Linked DNA regions of Astyanax mexicanus. The protein of the gene in region 1 interacts with the protein of each later gene in a biochemical or structural test. Links are inferred from orthologs where the notes say so. Each region holds a gene or a part of one and is shown in the gene's direction. Other genes may lie near its edges.

What was found.
Region 2: the proteins of irf4a (region 1) and spi1b are reported together in a solved structure, tested with the Homo sapiens proteins (2 studies listed by BioGRID, with this or other methods). The link is inferred for Astyanax mexicanus from reciprocal best matches to the Homo sapiens genes IRF4 and SPI1.
Region 3: the proteins of irf4a (region 1) and stat6 form a complex in vitro, tested with the Homo sapiens proteins (2 studies listed by BioGRID). The link is inferred for Astyanax mexicanus from reciprocal best matches to the Homo sapiens genes IRF4 and STAT6.

The regions. Positions count from the first base shown.
Region 1 is NC_064415.1:8,773,225-8,780,189, forward strand, and holds the start of irf4a (interferon regulatory factor 4a), read left to right. Parts: upstream 1-3,951; 5' UTR 3,952-4,364; intron 4,365-4,626; 5' UTR 4,627-4,719; coding exon 4,720-4,956; intron 4,957-6,965. UniProt on the Homo sapiens protein: Transcriptional activator. Binds to the interferon-stimulated response element (ISRE) of the MHC class I promoter. Binds the immunoglobulin lambda light chain enhancer, together with PU.1.
Region 2 is NC_064430.1:7,877,534-7,885,382, reverse strand, and holds the start of spi1b (transcription factor PU.1b), read left to right. Parts: upstream 1-4,826; 5' UTR 4,827-5,229; coding exon 5,230-5,271; intron 5,272-6,455; coding exon 6,456-6,530; intron 6,531-6,665; coding exon 6,666-6,753; intron 6,754-7,849. UniProt on the Homo sapiens protein: Pioneer transcription factor, which controls hematopoietic cell fate by decompacting stem cell heterochromatin and allowing other transcription factors to enter otherwise inaccessible genomic sites.
Region 3 is NC_064420.1:43,313,504-43,321,007, forward strand, and holds the start of stat6 (signal transducer and activator of transcription 6), read left to right. Parts: upstream 1-4,481; 5' UTR 4,482-4,602; intron 4,603-7,504. UniProt on the Homo sapiens protein: Carries out a dual function: signal transduction and activation of transcription. Involved in IL4/interleukin-4- and IL3/interleukin-3-mediated signaling.

The DNA.
Region 1 (6,965 bases):
TTCTTCACAGAGTATTTTGGTTCACTTTTAAGTTACTACATGATTCCTTATGTGTTCCTTCATAATGTGAATCACTTCAGTATTCATTTACAATGTATTATTTAGGATTTAGATACTAAGTTATAATTTTGAGATACTATGTCGTTGTTTTGATACACCGTTTCATTATTTTAAGATAATAAGCCTCTATATTTCAAGACACAAAGACATTATTTTAAGATACTGTACTGTATAAAAATTAAGTCAATTATTTAGATGTCTTTCTTACTATTTAGAGGCCAGGATTTTTGTCAGTTGTCTGCCTGATATTACACCACTTAATCTTAAGTATTTCTATTCAATCATTATATTAAAAGTTTTCATGATTGATAAGGAACATTGCTGAAAAGTATAATTGAAATCATAATAGAGAAAAAACTAAATCTGCCAAAATATGTCAAAATATAATGAATAAAATCATAAAATTGACTTTTTTCCTGCACTTCAATTTAAAATTAATATTTTCCAGTTCATGTGCTCCAAACCTTTAGTTTTACTATGTTTGTCTAGTTTTTAACGACTATTTTCAACATGGGTTGATTCCTGTTAGTAATTTGCAATTATTAAGTGAAGTAGAGAGAAAACAGGCCGATTTTCAAAGTGGCCTGTAGGAGATTTCAAAGCCCTCAAAATTTGTAGAATGTAAAGAAGTTATTTTACTGCAAACATTAATTGTGGCCTGTTGTCCATCAGAATAGATTATAAACCAGCCAATAAAACAGTAGCTTAGCCCCGCCCACTGGACTGGACAAAAAAAAATCGGCAACTGAGACATTAGGGCGTCAGGACTAAAGAACAAATGAGGCAAAGTAATACAAACTCGTTTTTCCTATATTTTTTGTGATTTAAAACACTTTTTTATCATGTTTAGGTATAAAAATATAGTTAATTGGTTATAGTAAATTTAATTTATTAAGATTTTATATTAGGGTTGTAGTGTCTTATTTTGTTTGCATTATAGACCAAAAACATAATTCTTATCTGGAGCGTAATCCAGGTATGAAAGGGTTAATTTGACATCCTTTCTCTTTTTTTTTTGAGATGCATTATGATTTTGGAATAGTTTTGTTTGTTTGTTTCAGTTGGCAGTTTGATTAACTTGTTTTTATCCTTTTGTAATTCTTATTATGTCATTTACTAACTAATGTTGGATCAGATTCGTGTGTTATTGATGATGTTTCAGCTAATACGCATTTATGTCCCAAAAAAAGGTAAGTCAACAATCATAGCTGGACATGCTGTCTCATACCTGTACAGGTGGTACTAATGCTTCATTCCGCCAGATGGCACTAATTTCACCCAGTAACTCTTGAGTTTGGTTGGGTTAAATAGGGGTATTTTATTTTTGTATTATTATCTCCGTTTCTCTCCGTGGTTTGGTGAACACCACTAACCCCAGCAGTGGAAAGAAGCTCCAGTCTGACATTAAACTGGTAGGACGGGTATTTCTGGGTGGAGTCTGATTTACCGGATCCGATCAGACCGGGCTGCGGAGCGGCTGTAAACTCCCGCAGCCCACTCGATAAAAACAGCCGCGCGCAATCAGCGGATATCGGAACGGATGAGTGTGATGAGGAGCGCGCGCTGGGACGGCCGATGTTCCGCGGCCGGGCGCGCGGCGGCTCGGTGGGATTCCCCGGCGGGATGTTTACTACTCTACCTCTCTTCAGAGAAACCCCTCGAGCGTGGAGCTCAGGCCACGCCCACCAGCAGCACAGCACACCTTTAATATATATTTTAACATGTATATAATTCAGCATTTATTATTCTTATTATAATAATCCATAACTGCTGTGTAAATTAATTCCATTTAATTTCTATGGATGATTTATTGTAGTCTTAACCCAAGACGTTTAAAAGATGTTGTGTAACATTCCTTAACCCTTTCATTATGAATGAACCCTGAATTATGTTCCAGTGACAAAAAACGGTAAGAATGCTGTTTTCTGTCTTGTAGTGCACACGCAAAATACTCTAATAAAACATCTATACAAAAATGGAATCCAACTAAAAAATTGAATTTATTTAAATGCCCATTGCATTGAATACCTGTTTAACATTTCATTTTATATTAATAAAAATGGTTCTAAAGAACATAAAATGAGCAAATATGAGCTCTTGTCATTTTTTCAGTGCAGTGGGCGGGGCTAATCTACTGTTTCATTGGCTTGCATTGACTTGTTTTATTGGCTGCTGCATGGTCTATTCTGATGGACAACAGGTCTCAAATAATGTTATGTGCAACAAAACATCAAAGAAAAAAAAAGAAAATACATGATGTCCATTGTAATGGACGCAGGGTCTAAAAGGGTTAAAGCACTCTGTCTTACACTTTAATTCATGAAGCTCCAAAGTGACATCTACTGAACATCCTAAGAGCATCATCACAGCACATATTACAGCGATATTTGCAGATTGTAAAGATGGAAGTGCAGACATTTTTTAGATCCTTTAAAAAGGGCATTATTTGCTTACGCATATGTTCCAACCATTTGAACAAGTTTTGACTTGATTTCTAGAACAAAATGTTAAAATATAATCAACGTCACGAAAGTCATGAAATTGTTGTGTTATTTGTGTTACATCAGGATTTTAAACCTAAAATATTTACAGTCATGTGATCACAATAAGAAAAATAAATATTAATATAAGCTTTTCACTGAAATCAGCTGATTCAATTTTAAACTTGGTATCAATATTCTGAAATGCGTCTGTGCCTTTATGGCTTAAGTAAAATTATGTATGTATGTATGTATGTATGTATGTATGTAAAGTTATGTTTACGTATTTACTGCTTATTACTAGTGATCCACTATGTACAATTTGATCTCAATTCGTCGTGTAAATCACAATCTTTTTACCATCACTAACAGCTTATATCACAATATGTTTTATCCTATTGTAGACGCGATATTAACAAGCTACAGAGAGGCGGCCTACTCGAATATTGGAATTCTTGTATTTGTTGTAAATGTAAAGTAATTCATTATTTTTGTAGTATTGTTTTGGCTTTGACTTAATGTAATAATGACTTTACATTTAACCATGATCGGAGTCCTGGAGCGCCGATTCAATGTGCCTACCTCTAGTAAAAACTATGGCTGCGCTAAAGAGCGTGCGTTGGCCTTTATTCCAGTAAAAGTAGAAGTCCTCCTAACTTAAATAAATGTACAAAAGTATGAAACATCCAATGCACTCAGATATCAAAAACAAGAAAATAGAGATAATTCTCTAATGCTTTAATGTTCTATGGCCATTTTTTATAACTGATTAATTAGCATATTTTAGTTGGTTGAAGTCTTTAGAGAGTCACTCTGGCTTACAAAATCGTTGATTAGTTTGATTATGCATATTAAAATGAAAATAAAACACAAACGCAAAATACTAAAGGCCAACAGTTTCTATAAGATACAATCAATCGGCTATAAAAATTTTTTTGCCAACAAGCGAAGTTTCAGTTCAGAATTATTTTACAAATGTATGAACACGTTTAAGTTGATTAAAACAAGCTTTAAACGCAATTTTACAAACGAGTTTTCCTATAATATAATATAGGAAATATAATATAATGCCACATCTATATATTCCATATAATGGATTATTGACGCAGCATAGAGGCTATCACAATTTTAAACAGTCCAACAGATCATAACAAGTTAAAACTAAGAGGTCGTTGAATCATTGTGTGCTTGCTTTGTTGTTCTTTCGTGTTGATGTAATACATTTTTATTGCATAATTAAACAAAAAAAAAAACAATATTGACTTTTCCGCTATTAACATACTTTCTGGACAGCACGTGACATATCTTTATATTTTATTTTTTTATGTTTTTGTATTTATTTTAATACAATGTATTATTATTATTATTACTACTACTAGCATGATTAAAGCATTGCAGATGCATACTCGAATTTTTTTTTAGTTCTATGGTACTGAATATGTGTAAAACTAGTTTAAATAGAACCGGATTTCATACATATTAATGAGCTTTTTATTACATTTATTAAATGTATTAAATGTTGTATCAATATATAGAAATGAGTCTAGGCGCTCCTGGGTCCAATGAACGCCAGTGACCAGATCTAGTAAATGTTTCTAGTAAAAGTATTATAGTACTTATATGTATAATATGTTTCTGTTGACTGTGAATTGTGGTGACAGAATTCAGTGTATTTTTATAGCCCCGCCCACTTGTATTTAGGTCCCGCCCCTTTTGCGCTGCAGTTGAAGGCTTCTTAAGCGCTGGAGCGTCTCTCAGCCCACTCTGGTGCAGGAGAAGTTTCAGAGCTGCGATTGAGGAGCATTGCGCAGTGCGATCACTGAGGTAAGAGCTGGGGAACGGAGCCTGCAGCCTGGAGACTGAGCAGTCTGGAGAACCTTTAGAACCATTAGAACATCATAGAACATTATTGAAGCCTCAAGTGAAATTTTAGTACATTTTAATTCATTGTTTTATTAAATTAAAGTGCAGCACAAAACAAAAAGTGCGGCACTTTTGATTTCAGCACTCACACGTATTTTATTTTAGTTTAGACTTCAGTGCATGATTCATTTTATTAATATAATTGATATTATATCATATCCAGGCTCACAGTTCCAGTGCATGCAGCTTCTCTCAGCAGGCTCAGCATCTTCTCCAAGGCACGTTGGCATTTGCATGATCCGAGCTGTGCACCTGCATGTCCGGTCACCACTGTCGCATGCGTCCTTTGGCAGGCATGAATTTAGATGGGGACTGCAGCATGTCAGTCAGTTGTGGCAATGGCAAGCTTAGGCAGTGGCTCATCGAGCAGATTGATAGCGGGGAATATCCCGGCCTGGTCTGGGAGAATGACGAGAAAACCATTTTCAGGATACCCTGGAAACACGCGGGAAAGCAGGACTACAACCGCGACGAGGATGCTGCGCTCTTCAAGGTGAGTCCACCTGAAGATACCTGATATTAACTTCAGAGAAAGTATGACAAGAGTTTTCAAAAAAAAGGTAGAGGAACAAAATGTAGCATCTCCAACATTTACCCAAGTATTTTGTTCTCAAGAACTTTTCAGAGGAACTACTTGATCCACCCACCTTTAGTCAGTATAGGAACTGATGGTAGGAAGTCTGTTAAGACCCTGTTCTTCTCGTTTTGGTGTTAATTGATAAAGATCATTATTTAGTGTACAAATAGTAGAGTAACAATAAAAAAAGAAGAACAGACGTCTTAGCTTCAAGCTCTAGAAGCTTTAAACTGCAGAAAAAAAACTTCTAATACAATCTAGGTAGGATTCTTCGAACTGGAAGAAAATCTGCTTCCATCAGTATGTTGACAAGCGTCTGTTTTTTTTGTGGTCTGAAATAAAAGGATGAATGAATGATGAATGAAGTTCTAAAGGAAGATCAGAAAAAGGTGAAAATATTAGAGTAGACAAACAAATGTTAAAAAGCTCTAAAACGATCTACTTGAAATCTGTTTTTGAACTGCAAAAGCGTTTATTTCTCCATCCAATCTTAGCCAGAACTCTTCTCATATTTCTCTTAAAACTCTAAATAAATTATACAGATTTATAGTTAGATTTGAGAACTTTCACAATGTAGTACAAACCCTAGAGCAAAACAAATAAAAATTAAATTTAAATTAAAAACAAGTTAAGGAATGAAAAGTAGCATCTCCCAAATTTTACCCGAGTACTTTCAGTAACTTAAGAGGAACTTCTTGGTCCATCCACCAGTGTCGTCAGTGTAGGAACTGTTGATAGGAAGTCTATCAAGACCCTGTTCTTCTCGTTTTGTTATAAACTGATAAAGATCACCATTTAGTGTACAAATAGAAGAATAACAATAAAAAAGAAGAACAGATGTCTCAGCTCAAAGCTCTAGAAGCTTTAGAACTGAAGAAAAAAAAAACATTTTAGACCAATGACCAAACGAAAACGTTCAAGTACCACCTACTAGCCATTTCACAGGAACACATGTAGTTACCACACACATAGTTATTTATACACAGTAATCTAGAGGTGTAATCCACACATATACATGTCCTCATATCTGTAGACAGTGGTTCGTCACCTGATATGTGGTCTGCTTTTTCTTTTCTTTTTTCTGTAAGTTAGTTTGTGTGGTAAATTGTTTGATTGATTATTGTTTCTGGCTTATACAGTTTTCCTACTAAGACATCTTTTTTAGCTATTTAGCTACTAATTTAATTGAACTGTTGGTGAATAGTTGGTTGGTATAAGCATATCTTGTGGTGTTCCACAGGGTTTTACTCTAGGGTCAATGAAAATTACAGCTGGAAACATGATAGATTATGGTAGAGTTCTAGAGTTATTTTAATGCAAGCTGATTTTTTTTTGAGGTTATCTAGTGTACCATCTTGGGATGCTTCACGTACCACCAGGGGTATCCGTACCACAGTTTGAGAACCACTGTCTTAGACAATCTTGGTAGAATTCCACCAACTGGAACTGGAAAAAAATACTAAGCTTCCATCAGCAAGTTGACTACAGTCTGCTCTTTTTCTTTTGGGTTTGAAATAGAATAATGAATGAACGATGAAAGAATAAAAGTTCTAGAGAAAGATCAGAAAGTCGTAAAAATATTAGAGCAGACGAACAAAAGTAAAAAAGCTCTAAAAGATCTACTTAAGAATGAAATATAAAGAAATGTCTTGCTCCATCCACCATTCAGTATGGGAACTGAAGTCTCTAAGACATTATTCATCACATATTTCTCTAAAACTCTAAATACATGATACAGATGTAAAGTTAGAATAAGTAAGAACTATTGCAAAGTAGTACTAACTTTTAAAGTTGGAGAAGAGCATCAAGGTCCATATACTATTTTTCCAATCCAATCTGTCCAGTCTAATATACTTTTTTTTGTCTAAAATCTAATAAACCTCTATAATGTTAGTGGTGAAAAAATCACAAGTCAGAGTTTATAC
Region 2 (7,849 bases), on another chromosome or scaffold:
CCTTCAGTCATGCCTGAACAGAATCCTCCTCTGTACTATATACCAGTGCTTTTCATTGTGACTTCCAGCATAAAGAAGGCTATTTCTACTGTAAAGTTGCCGTTTTTGAGTTAAATTAAAATGTAATTAATTACATGTGCTGTGAATACTTAATGTACGTTACATGCATTCATCACTTACTATGAAAGAAACCACAATAGTCTGCAACATTTTCTATGGGCTACATTTTAATATAAGAAGGCTAAAGGACATTTGGGGGCTTGGCAGTTATTAATGCTTTCAGATGAATTTCTGCTTTAAACTGATATGGAGAAAACAATATACTGGGGCATTTTCAATACATTTAAATGCAGTTCAGTTTGTACAGTATGCTGCACAATGTGATTCTTGCTATACAGGACCTTGTATCTCAATTTTTGCCAATTTTCTCTTTTTGACAGAATCTACTAGAGAATCTACTGTAAAGTTGCTATTTTTGAGATACAAGGTTTTTTGTCTGAGACTGGCGATATGCTTCCTAAGTATTTTTTACCTCAGCCATTTGATTAAATCAGTTGAAAGACTTTGATGTTTGATAACCTATTAATTATACATTTATACATGGAATGTACAGTATAAAAAAAAACTCATTTTTGACCATTATTAAAGTATTATGTTCTTTGGTTCAGAGCATTTTTTAGATTTTTTATATTTTAGAGTTTTATTCACCTAAGAGGATGATCAGCTACTATAAAGTAGTGTAGTAATGCTTTATAAAGGATCATTTATAAAACAATTAATTAGTGCTGCCAAGCTTTCCAAAAATTCCTAAGTGATACATGCCTTCAGATGATTTTTTGCTTTAAACTGATATGAAGTAAACCTGCTAAGCAGTTTTCCAGACAGGGATTAAACCTAGTCCTAGACCTTCAGTCAGGCCTGAAGAGAATCCTCCTCTATACTATTTTAGCCAGAATTATTTGCATTAAATGCATTTTATCATGTATCTCCATTTTTGCCTTTTCCCCCTTTTTGACAGAATCTACCAATTCTTTTCATTGTGATTTTCAGTGTAAAAAAAAGGCTATTTCTACTGTAAAGTTGCCATTTTTGAGATACAAGGTTTTTGTCTGACACCGACGACATTCTTCCTAAGTATCTTTACCACAGCCGTTTGATTAAATCAGCCAGAGTTACATATAGACCTGCTATCTACTGTCACTTCTTGTCTTGGTGAAACTGCTCCAGAAGATTATAACTGATACGAGACAGTCTCACCAACTACCTTATCTCTCAGATAACTCATCGTCTGCAGCCAAGAGAGAGAGAGCTCTGAGTTCACTAACTACAGTTTAACTCAAAACAAAGAGTTTAAAATGAATTCTACAAGTGCATTTTGGAAATGAAAATAAGTGCATGAAATGGAGCTTTATTTTTTAATGCAATTAATGCAATATTTAATATATTTGGTATATTTTTGCCATTTCTTTTTTTTGTTTAACAATAATATATTATTACAATAACTTTGTTGCTGTCATACAAAACATTTTATAAACTCAAAAAGAAAAATTATTCAGTGTACAATGACTTAATTCATTTTATTCTTGTTCAAGCAGTTTTATAGGTCAATTCAACAGGAAATTTGGACGTAATCTAAAAAAACTGGCTCAAACTATCTTATATATATATATAATTTGAGAAATAAATTAAATGTACTTATTCACATAAATAAGTGCACTTTAAAATAGTATTTAACCCTCCTGCTATCCTCAAATTTACAAACACCATTTATTATCTGGTCAATATGATCCCAGCAATTTAAACCTTCAGAAAAATATCATAATTACAGATCATTAAACATGTTAGCAAAGTTTACTCATCAGTTACTTTATGTTTATTTTTAAAAATATAATCTGTTCTGGCATTATTGTGTTTTATTAGTATTATGTAAGTATTATAAGTAATGTTTTGTTAAATCAGGGCCTAAAGTAAAGGGGCATTTAGAAAAAGATTCTAAAATGGAATGTCATAGTGATCTTAACATTATTACCACACAAAAATGTGTCAAATATTTCTTAGATATTTCTTATGTTTTATGTCAATAAAACAGCCTTAATAAAAAATACATTAAAGTTGAAACATTTGAAACATTTTGTTTTTCGTTAATTGTCTTCATTAAATTAAGAAAAGACAATGAATATAAATGACAAAACTAATGTCAACCTTTTTTTTAGAGACTTTAAACACTAAATGGGGTCAAATTTACCCCACAGATAATAGGAGGGTTAATGCCACTACATATATTTTCTATCAACACAACATATAATTTAAAGCCTACTGCTTAAAAATACTTTTTATGGAAATACAGAAAAAGTTTAATTTAATTTGTATTTTCATAAAATATATTAAATATATAAATTTACTTTTAGTATTCTTTACCTAATTTGATCATACTTTCGGTGTTCTTAACTATATACTTCCTTTTCACCCGGGAAATTGATCAGTATTCAATCTGAATGAACACAGTCTTACATATATAGTAGGTATGTAATGTTTGCCATCATTTTGAAGCACTTTTTTGTACAGCATTGTATAGAGTTTCTTTTAAACTTGGGGGCGGGTGGGCTTTTTTGCCATGTCTACAGATACTTTTAACAGGTTAAATAAGGTTTAAAAGGTAAAATTTCAGTCACAGATTAGACACACCTTCAATACAGTGTTTTTTCATTATTCTAAACTTTGAATCTGCATTGTAGATCAATACTACAGTCATCCAAACTATGAAAGAATATATGTGGAATTATTCAGTTAGCAAGAAAGTGTTCAAACAAACCAGAATATGTTTTATATTTTAGATTCTTCAAAGTATTCCTCTTGCTTAGATAGAGACAGTTTTACACATATCTGCTGGATTTTCTCAGTCAGCTTTATGAGGTAGAGTTACCTGGAATTCAGGCTTTCAGTTAACAGCTGTGCTGAACTCGTCAAGAGTTAATTACTTGAATTTCTTGTCTCTTAATTTGTTTGAGAGCATCAGTTGTAAACAGGTATACAGTAAATAGTGAATATTTAAGTAATATTTTTATTTTATCTTATCCATACTTAGCGTAAAGAGGTAAAGCTAAGGTATTTAAGAAAATCTAAATGTATTTTTTTAAATCTAAACAAGCTCACTATAATCAATTCAGGTCAACCTTGTTTTCATCAAACGTCAGTTTTCACTAAAATTGCCCACCCTGTTGTGCAGATTGCTATGACACACATTTTATTAAATATATAAGAAGGATATATTTGGATGAGCTTAGTTTTTTTTTTACCTTTCAGGCAAAATCTTCCAGATTTGTTTCACATACGTTTAAATAGCTCAATAGGAAACAATTCACTTCTTTAAATCTTTAAACAACTTCCTCATATTATAATTTTTTTTCTGCCACACTTAATTAAAAGAGTTACAATAAAACAACACATATGTACACAGTACATACCTTCTCATTTACTATTTTTTTTTTTTACATTTTTTAAATAATGTATATATTTATATACATATATAAACTATAAAGAAATGCATATGTACTTATAAAAAAACAAAAAGTTAAACAAGCCAAAATATGTTTATACTTTAGATTCTTTAGCACCTTCTTTAAAAGTAGCACCTTTTGCTCAAAGGCCAGTTTTGCACATCCTGTCTGATTATCTCAGTCAGTAATTAAGTCATTAAGTAAAACCTGGAATGGTTCTACAACTGTCTCAAAGGAGTTTTAGAAATGCTGAGCTCTAACTCATCCCAAAAATCCTGAGTTAGGTTTTTATGCCGGGTGTATGTGAAGTAACTAACTGCATATGTGTACCTTCATAGTTTTTAAATCTTTAATATTAATACCAATGTAGTATATATATATATATATTTATCCCTTTCAGACTCTGCATACATCACAATGGACATCATGTATTTTCTTTATTTTTAAATATTTTGTTGCCCATAACACTATTAGCATTATTTGAGAGCTGTTGTCCATTAGAATAAACCACTTAAGACCCTTTGTCCTCTTTTGAGGACACTACATTTCTGCATTTCTGTATCATTATTCTACATTTGTTAAAACGTCAACCCTTTGTCCTTATATGGAGACACTGCCTGTACCATCTGGTGGTCGCATGCAACAGTACTCTCGATTGATTAAAAATAAGATACTGGGTTTTTGTACTAATTGGGGTCTTCTCATCCCAAATTGCAAGGATCATTTTTAAATGTTAAAATAAACTATTCTCTACCTACTAGGGCAATGTGATTTGCAAAAAAAATGACTTTCTGTACAAAACAAAGTTTCGTTTTTATACTTGTTCGGTCCTACTGATTCCACATAGATATAATACATAAAAAAATGCACACCAAGCAAACGTTCGGTCTTTTTTTATAGGAAGTTATAAATAATATATAATATTAAAAATTATAATAACATTGTTTGTATAAAACGTAAACTGTAAACTATACTGCAGACACAGGGAAGATATATTGATATATACTGAAATTGACCCTTAAATCCACTTCTTTAAATCTACTTCTTTAAATCCATTTAAATCCATTTTAAACCATTAAAACAGCCCAACATTGGAGAATGTTGGGGTATATTGGTCCGTTTAGGGACGGCCAGCAAAACGGGCCAATTAGACGACCCCCAAAGTCTTCTAAAGTGGCACCAATTATTCCTTCATCCTACGTTAAAGCTCGCCGAATGGCAGGCAGCATGGAGGTGGACAGGAAGAAGCGTGTTGGCTGAGCTGCCTCTTGATTGGCTATTGGGGGAGGTGACACACTGCGTCTGTTCGAACTGAGTAGTTATAATCCCCACCTGACATCACCCTAAAATCAGGAACCAGCAGCAGGCTCTCTCTCACACACACTCACACACACACACACACACATACCCAAAAATAAAGAAGTAACAAACAGAAAGCCCTGTCCTTTTTGGTCACGCTTGCTGTTAGGCTAACTTGCTACTTGCTCTGACTGTATCTTTAGCCGCTTTCTGTTGATTTCAAGGGCCCTGGAAAGCAGCAGTGTGGCCCCCACTGGATAAGGTGTTTGCGGGTGTGTGTGTGTGCGAGTGTGCATGCGAGCGGCGTCCGAGATCTTTGGTTTCATTTGGTAAGAGGAAATTTAGTTGTGCAATGGCTCGGGGACAGTTTTGAAAGCCATTGAGAGGGTTAGCGCGAAGAGCTAGAGCTAGAGCGAAGCCGAGAAGACCCCATATGTTGCCTTCGTACAGAATGGAGGGGTACATCATCCCACCTGTGAGTATTCCCCATCTTTCCTAAGAGTGTGTGAGCGCGTGGTGAAGTGTGTGTGTGTGTGATGTTGCGTTGTGTTGAGTTATCGCAGTAGAAATTTGAAATTGATGAGATTGGGTTTTGAACTAGCTATAGTCAAAGTGATGACAGGGTTTAGCCGTTCCTAACAGTGGCCTTAAGCCTGTGTAGCCATTTTAATGCTAAATAATTACAGTTTAAAAATGCAATATATATGTGTATGTATATGTGTATTGTACTTGTACTTGCAGTTGTGCAGTGTATAGTTTTGTTGCTAATCTTTGCCATTTAAACAACAGTAACTTTTCAAGTTTTTTTTTGCATTTGATTCATTTCCACATATATGTCAAAAAATATAAAATTTCTTCTGATCTATTCTGATCTTATCCATATATGTATATGTATATGTGTATTGTACTTGTACTTGCAGTTGTGAAGTATATAGTTTGCTTGCTAATCTTTTCCATTTAAACAACAGTAACTTTTCAACTTTTTGCATTTGATTAATTTCCACATATATGTCAAAAAATATACAATTTCTTCTGATCTATTCTGATCTCATCCACTGTAGATGACTTGATGTGATCAATCTCTTGTCGTGTATATATGTATATGTTGTTAAATGAAATCAAATTTCAACCTTAAAATGTCTTAAAAATCTAATGTTATTAACATTATCGAGCAACCAATGTCAATCAATCATTCGTAACAAATTCAACTAATATATCAACTAACATATTACAGCCAATCATTTATCCAATCTTTTCTACTAAAAAAAACTTTTTTTTTTTAAAGGTGCTACAAAGGGCTTAATAAGCAATGCCACAAAAGAACCACTTTAGTTTACATTGAGAAATAATAATAATAATAATAATAACAATAATAATAATAATAATAAAAAAGGATAGTTCGTAAAAAATGGATGTGGGCTTTAAATATAAAAAAAAATATTTTTAAAAAATCATAAAAAAGAACATGTTCACACTCTTGTAAAGATTTCTTATAACAAAAACTGACTTTCTGAAGACAAAAGTGGTTCTTTTATTTATGGCATCCCTCAAGAAACCATTTGTGGCACCCTTACATATATAATTTTTTAAGGATGTAAAAATAAAGAACTGTTCACAGAAATTACTGAATTACTGAACTATAATTTCTGTGTGTAATAGAAAATAACCCGGACTGGCTGGATGTCACAGACACCTTCTGAATTTAAAGATTACTGGGCCCTTGTAAACAAAGATGTGAGGCTCGTGTTTCTCATCCTGCTCATAAATATATACTGCATTCATATTTCTGCATTGAAACTTTGGGGCTTTGCTTTGGTGTTTTGCGTTCTGAGTGGTCAAAAACGATCTTTTCCCACTTTCACCCTGCAGCCGACGGAAGAGCTGATCTATGAGACGGACATCTATCGACCGCCGATGGAGTATCCGTACATAATCGATGGAGAGAGTGGCCAAAGTGGTAAGAAGCTGCTTTTTTTTTATTATTTTAGCTTTATATTAGCTCTGTTTTTTACTGCACTTGTGGGTCAACTCCCAATGTAATTTTATATATGTACAGTACTGTGTAAAAGTACACTAATTGAGTGTTTTTGCCTGAAAAAAGCACTATATGTGATTTAAACAGATGCAAATAAACATAATACATTAAAAAGTAACAGGAATTTCTCATTTTTACCTAAGTAGGTTATATCCTGTGAGCCAAGCTTTAGAACAAAGTTTAGTTCCACATTTCTCCTGGATTCCCTCAGACAAGCCAGCATATGATATGTTCAGTTCCGTCAGCAGCTCACCTGATTTAACATCAGTAAGATGTTAAAGATTTGATTTACCAAACCAGGTGTTGATATGATGAGAACTAGAAATAACTCTATTAAACTCAGATGAGGAGAGATTAGGAGATGTTTTAAGGAAAACAGTGCTGTAAAAACTCTGCTTTTTGTAAATTAGCTGTTTGTATCTATTGTATCTATATGACCAATCAGAGGAGACGATGTGCTTGCATGGTATATCTGTGCAGAGTGAAGCTGCTTTAATACAGAATGCTAAAAAGGTGCTGCTGCGCTTTTAAACACTGAACGCTGCACATGCCGTGCTCTTAGTGTGTAAACAGCATGGAGCAGCAGAGACAGCATTTGTTCATAGCTGTATATTACCTGATCAGATAATATATAATATATAATATATAACATATCAGATTAAACTGCGCCTAATCATTAGTTTAGCTCAATTAATAAAGAAAAAAGAATATTTAATTGCTGGGTCAGATCAAGACCGGATCACGTTCTTGCCACAAGCAAAACGCTCCAGAAAAAAAAAAAATGCATATTGAGTGGAGGCGGAGCAGATTATGGCAGATTATGACTGCTAGTGTTTTACTGCTAGTGTTTACTGTTAGTGTTTTACTTAGTGTTTTACTGCTAGTGTTTACTGTTAGTGTTTTACTTAGTGTTTTACTGCTAGTGTTTACTGTTAGTGTTTTACTGCTAGTGTTTTACTGCTAGTGTTTACTGTTAGTGTTTTACTTAGTGTTTTACTGCTAGTGTTTACTGTTAGTG
Region 3 (7,504 bases), on another chromosome or scaffold:
ATGGGCTGTGATATGAGGAATGCCCTCGCACGCACCCCTTCAACCTGCCACCCACCACACCCCCCTGCAACCCCCCTACAGCCCCCCACACCCCCACATGAAATGCTCCTCACGTGAATTTCTGATGACAAGTAGAGCTGATTTTCTAAACATCTCACCAGATGGCAGGACAGGCCTCCATACACTTCACTCTGTTTAAAACAGGCTCCTCCCACAACTGCTGACCTGCACAGTGCTGGATATGTTCTCAGATGTTCTCAGATCCTGCAGATGATTGACTTATAGTTCTATGTATGTATAAGTAGAGCTGGGCAATATGACCATATTTGATCATTTTGTGGTATTTTTTCTAATTGTATTGACGATATATGCAAAGTAAACACGAATAGGTTTTAGTATTACTAACATGCTAATGTGCTTAAAAGATTTGTTTTCAGTAAATTAAATATTTACTTAAATGTTAGGTCACAAAATAGTGTTTAAGTTGTAAGTAAAGGAACAGCTACATTTTTGAATTTCAGGATTAATATTAAAAATTTTAAGTAACGATTACTAAACAAATTTGGGGGAAAAATTAATTTTGAAATTTAAGGATTAAACTTAAAACTATATTTGGGTCCAATTTTAGATTTAAACTTTTCTAAAAAAATTTAGTAAATTAACTAATAAACTATTATCTCTAAATAATTAGTTAATAAATATAATAGCTAGGTTATAAAATGTATTTTAAAGTACGCAAGCGCTTCATTTGGAAGTATAGTTCTGTAAAAAACGATACTTTTCTATACAGCACTATTTCAAGTAAATGTGCTTAAAACTTTAATTACCTCAATATTTTTAAATGTTCTTTTTCATTGTATATTTGTATTGTGATACATTTACTTAATTCGAAAAAATATACACGTTTTAAAGCATTTCAAAGATATAATCACTGCTTAAAGAACACTTGCTTTAAGACCCAACTGTACATTACATTGCCAAAAAAGAATAATTAGTTGAGATTAATTGGATGAACTGCAGGTTATTCTGAATAAAAGTCACTCTACTCACTATGGGATTGCATTTAACCCTTTCAGACCCTGCATTAATTGCAGTGGACATCATGTAGTTTCTTTTTTTCAAATGTTTTGTTGCACAGAAAAACAATTGAGACCTGTTGTCCATCAGAATAGATCGTAAACCAGTCAGTGAAATAGTAGTTTAGCTTTTATATCATGTTTAGGAATAAAAATTCAGCTAATCGGATTTATTTTTATATAGATTTTATATTTGGATAGTAGTGTCTTATTTTGTGTGACAGCACCATTCTTATATTTTCCCTCACTGGAACATAATTCGGGTCTAGAAGAGTTAAAAAGTGTGTACTGTGAAAATATCTTCAAATACTGTGATCCTATATAGAGGAAGTTAATGAAATAAACTCAGTGGAAGATTATTAACACGACCAACACATTCAGACTCTCAGCAGATAGATCAGCTGCATTTAGAAGCAGGAGATCAGTCCTGCTGCTGTTGATGCTGCAGATACGGTCAGCTGATGCCCTCTTTTGGCAGTGTCCAATTACTGCAGCTTCTCTTTAGGAGATATTATTATATTATTTAATAAGCATTACTTTTGGTAATGCTTCTGTTTTGTCAATGATAGTAATATAGGAATTCAATGCTAAAACAAAAAGCAGACATTCTGAGAGTTTACATGTAGTCAGTGTAGGCCTTGTATATTGTCCCAGGCCTAGTTTAGAGTTTATACAGTCCCTTACTTTCCACTAAAATATACTTCAACCACACTTATCTATCCTTAAATATCACTGAAAGTCCCTTGTTCACATAGAAAGATATAGATATAAAATGAATAAAAATAGAGAGCGAGAGAGAGAGAGAGAGAGAGAGAGAGAGAGAGAGAGAGAGCTTGTGAGGCATGAGAGTAAGAGAGAGAGCAACAAAAATACAAAAATAAAAAATGATGATATAAAATGGAATGCACCAAAACAAAATGACTGAAACCAAACTAAATGAAAAATAAAGAATAGTGAATACGTTTTTCACAGGTTTTACTGAGTTTGCCAAGTATTAAGTGCAGTAGTGAAGTAAAAGTAATACTCCAGTAGATACACATACAGTATTTTAGTACTTAATTACAGTAATGAAGTAAAAATAATACTCCAGTAGATACACATACAGTATTTTAGTACTTAATTACAGTAATGAAGTAAAAATAATACTCCAGTAGATACAGATACAGTATTTTAGTACTTAAGTAGAGTAGTTAAGTAGTTAAAAATAATACTCCAGTAGATACAGATACAGCATTTTAGTACTTAAGTACAGTAGTGAAATAATTAAAAATAATACTCCAGTAGATACAGATACCACATTTTGGTACTTAAGTACAGTAGTGAAATAGTTAAAAATAATACTCCAGTAGATACAGAATTTTAGTATTTAAGTACAGTAGTGAAGTAAAAATAATACTCCAGTAGATGAAGATACAGCGTTTTAGTACTTAAGTACAGTAGTGTAGATATTTTAGCTCTGGTGGGCACATAACCAGAACAAGAAGTGGAATGAAAGAGAGAGACAGAGAGACAGAGAGAGAGAGAGAGCGACAGAGACCCGGAAGAGTTTCGAAACCAGGCCTTTTACTGGAAATGGTGCCAGTGAGAGCAGAAATGACGCTCAGAGTCTCCACCCACTAAACACACACACACACACACACACACACTACTGCATGAACACAGCAGCAGTAGCTCAGCACTGCAAACTGTCCTTATCACATTTATTACAGCTTCAGATTGAGCTGCCACTCAGTCCATTACTCACACAGCTGCCTATCTAATAGTGAGCAGCTGTAATTCTCCCACAGCCTGTTTACCACTCACTAACTCACTAATACTAATATCAGTCTTCACAACAAACAGTATCATCATTTAATACAGAACATCACTTTCCATTAACAACCCCCCCAAACACACCTCCCAGTGTAATAGAGCATCATTTTCTCTTTAATAACACACCCATTTACATTATTCACCAGCAACACACATATGGTTCCAGGAATATTAAATTGTAACATTATATATTAAAAAACATTTCAGAAATGCTCTGAAGAACTGTGATGTAGGCCTAATGACATTTCACATAAACATCCCCAGTTAGCCAAACCCTAACATTATATAGAATAACACAAATACAACTGATGCATAAGGTTTAATTAATGTGACATGCAATGCTTCTATTTCTAAACTTTGTAGGGGAGTTGTTCCTTGCCACTGTGTCACCACAATAATTAGCCTCTTTGTGGTGCTGCTCATAAGAGACGTGGACCTGTTTTTTTTTTTTCTTCAAACCTGCTTTTTGCCAACTTTTGTTGTAAAAAGCGCTATACAAATAAAATTTTATTTAATTTAATTTAATTGAAGTATGCATAACAAATGAGAATTGTATGTGTTTAACTGTAAGAATAAAACGGTAAATAAAAACAATCAAGCAATATCCTCACCCATATGGAAAAATTTGTATAATATATGTAAATTAATTTATAAATACATTTGAAAATTTATGAAATAGGCCAAAAATATTTTTTTGCTAATGTACTGTAATCAATTTTATGTCACAAATAAAGGAATACATGAGCATATATATTTTTTTATATTTTATATATCTTTCCATGAGGGGAAAGTTTCATAGACTGAATGTTCTAAGAACCAACAAAGCATTTATAAAATAAAATAAAAAAACAGACACATTTAGCTCTTACCTCTAACATTTTCTAAACGTTGCGACTTATGCTTCTTAGAACGATTAATTTCTGCAAACACCTACATTTTTTTATTTTATTTATACCTGAACAATTTTAATAACATTTACAGTATACATAATTTTGTTTTTCTGTTGTGTTACGTTTATTTATTTATTCTGCAATTTAAGATTTAGTTGGCATGTTTCAATAATAATGTAATATTTATTATATTATTGTTTTATATTATTTGTGTAAGTTAATAAAATATAGTTTTTCGTGTTTAAACAAACACGTTCATTAAATGTGACCACAGTGATAATGTACTGTATGTGTTGAATCATTGTTTTTGTTTGTTTGTTTGTTTGTTTACTTTTTTAGGAATGTTTTCCAGAACGTTACAGTTTAAAAAGTGTAACTTGGAACGTTGTGTTACAAACGTTCCAATTACGTTGCGATTCAAATTCAAATGCAATTCTTTTTTTTTTTCAATTACTGCGACAAAGCACGTTCCTAGAAACGTTATTTCTGAAAATACTCCTGGAAAGCTTTACAAAACGTTTCCGAACGTTTTAATAACGTTCTTACGGCGTTGTTTTAACGCTTTCTATCAGCTGGGCTAATTAATGGCAGAGGCTGCAGCTCCACCGGCTCTGAACGCTGGAAGGAGCTGCTGAATCGCCGCTCAGCTCAGAAAAGTGAAAGTACAGCCGAGCTGGGAAGGGGAAGAAAACACACACACACGCACACGCACACACAACGCACACACACACTCACAAACACACACATACACACCAACGCACACACGGAAGGCGGATAAGCTTATTTCTCCTTTACATGTGTATACGAAGTGGCGACGAGGAGAGGTGAGTCTCATATTTACTCTCTTTTCTGCTCTTTAACTCTCGCTATAGCAGCCTGTAGCGGTTGTCAGTCGTTGTTTATGTCGTTTAAAAGAAGAAGCTTTTTGCCAACGACTCGAGGAGAAGTTGGTGGACTAGGCCACTGTACTGAGGTGCTTACGCAACATGCGTTTTTTAGCTCTCCACAGATCCATCCGAGCGTAAACGCGCACGGCCTCACCAAACTGAGCCTAAAGTGCCTTCCTCTGTTTAGCGACAGTGTTCTAGTCACTTCCCTGCTCTGACAGGGTTTATCAGAACCTGTATCGACTGTTTTTCTAACCAACGACGTTTATAGAGGGAAAGACAGGCCTACCAGAAACCCCAGGACCTCCCAGATCTCAGATCATCTAAACATCAGCCCACACAGCACATTTACAATTAAATTAACAATGTGGGTTTTAAAAAGATATTTTCATCATTTTATACAGTTAAATCTGTGTGGTTCTAACACTGGCACATTTGCTGTGTACCAGCAATCTTGAATACCCCACCAACACCCACTATAATGGTGTTTAGCTATAGCTATATACAGTATATGTGTGTAAATGCTGTAAAACTGTAGTATAGTCACGCTGTTACTTACTATACTATACTATACTAAGACACTACTCTAGGTTCCAGTTCCCAGTGTTAATCCAGTAATAGCTAATGTAGTCTATATATATATATATATATATATATATATATATCTTTATACACAGTACATGCATATATGTATATATTTGTAATGTATGTACGTTTGTATGTACATGATTTACTAAAGTAAAAAAAAGTTAATTTTTCTTTACACTTTTACACACTAAAGGATAACAGTAAATGCTGTGTTGTATCCTGTTGGAGAAACAAATCACATTTTTTTTTAAAGCAGAAGCCTCCTGCCTGAGCTCAGGTTTCTGTTCCCCCTAGATTACTAAATGCTGCCTGTTTCTATGGCTTTTTGGGCAAGGCCTTCACCAACTGAACAAAGACATATTTAAAGGTTCTCCCTAAGCTAAAAGCCAGCAAGAAAGGTGGATATTTACAATAAAAAATATAAATAAAATGCTTTGAAAATGGTGGGATTTTTTTTTTGATATTTTATTATACATTGTTTACAGCATCTGTCATTGGCACAATAAACAAATTGCCAAATATGTTTTTCTGAAGCTTGTTGGTACAGTTATTCATTGTGGATTTTATTTTTTGTTATATTGATACTGAAATTGTATTGCAAGCAACAAAATTAAGAAACGTATTTTGATACAGATTTTGGCTAATAAACAGTTGTTTTCAAAGCATATCTTGAATTTAATCAGTTCTTAAAGGAAACACACCTACTAAGTATATTTCATTACAAGGAGTGTAGCACGCTCTGAAGAAAAGTCACTGTACATTGTATAGCAAGAATTTTATTGCATGAGTAGCAGTTACTGAGGCATTTTGTCTGTTAATATATTGTGATTAATATTGTGTATCATGAAAATAGCTTTTAAATATTGTGATTCTATATTTGTATTGTATCGTCTATCTCTAATATTACTGTGTGAATCTGTAAAAATGTACACTACTCACAAAAGGTAGAAATATAAAATGTAAAATGTTAATTCTACAAAAAATATTATATAATAAAATAGAGCACTTAAATAGAAGCAATCAGTGTTAATTTCCTCATCTCAATGTTGGATATGCCCCAGCAAAAAAATGGCAGTGTTTCAATAACTAACTTGTCATGTGCTCTTAAGCATCAATTACAGCTTGACAACACCAACACTAACCCCTCACGCTTTTCACAAGTCGACTTATTGTCTGCTGAGTCACGATCATCCCACTCTTCTTTAAGGGTGGCTCTCAGGTCATTAAGGTTCTGGGGTACAGAGTTATGAGCCTGTACACAGTGACTCAGCAGGAAATCTGTGGGATTCAGGTCTGGGGAACGTACAGGCTTCTCTGTTTGAGGTACCCCAGACTATTGATGCAACCTTGATAAGCTAGAGCATTATGGTCTATGAAGATGAAATTAGGCTTGTGTTGTTCATGCAGAGACACGTTTACTGTATGTATTGAACTGTAACACTGTAACACTCCCACCACCAAAATCTCGTCTGGTGACAACAGTGGCTGATGCTTAGAGCTCCTCTTGACGTCTCCAATATCGTTGGCGTCCATAATTTCTGCTCACTGTAAACTGACTTTCACCAGTTACATCAGCACTGAGGCCCACTGATCCCTCGTCCAACATACATGCTCCCTAGGATAGGGGGACATATTGCAAAATCTATTCTGCATGAATTCCAACTGTTGCTTAAAATATCTCTTTAATATACAACTCTGGAAAAAAAGAGACCACTTAAAAATTATGAGTTTTTATTATTTTACCAAAGTGAAAACCTCTGAAATATAATCAAGAGGAAGATGGATGATCACAAGCCATCAAACCAAGCTGAACTGCTTGAATGTTTGAACCAGGAGCGGCATAAAGTTATCAAAAAGCAGTGTGTAAGACTGGTGGAGGAGAACATGCCAAGGTGCATGAAAACTGTGATTAAAAACCAAAATCAGAGAAATTGATTCAGAAACTGAAGTGGTCTCTTATTTTTTCCAGAGCTGTATCTTTCAACAGAATCAAATAATTAATTTTACAGTCTGTTTCCCAATCCTACCTATTGGTTTGTGCTCATCAGTCGACTTATAGTGACTTAATTTCAGGATGGTGGCACTAAGAGATCCACCTGAAGACACTGTGTGTTAGGGTTGCAACTAATGATTGTGTTGGTTGTCGACTAATCTAATGATTATTTTTTTGATTAGTTAATTTTTGAGTGATTATTAGTCAGCGATAATTTCCGCCATGTTTTCCATCTCTAAAAACGATAGAAACAGCTGA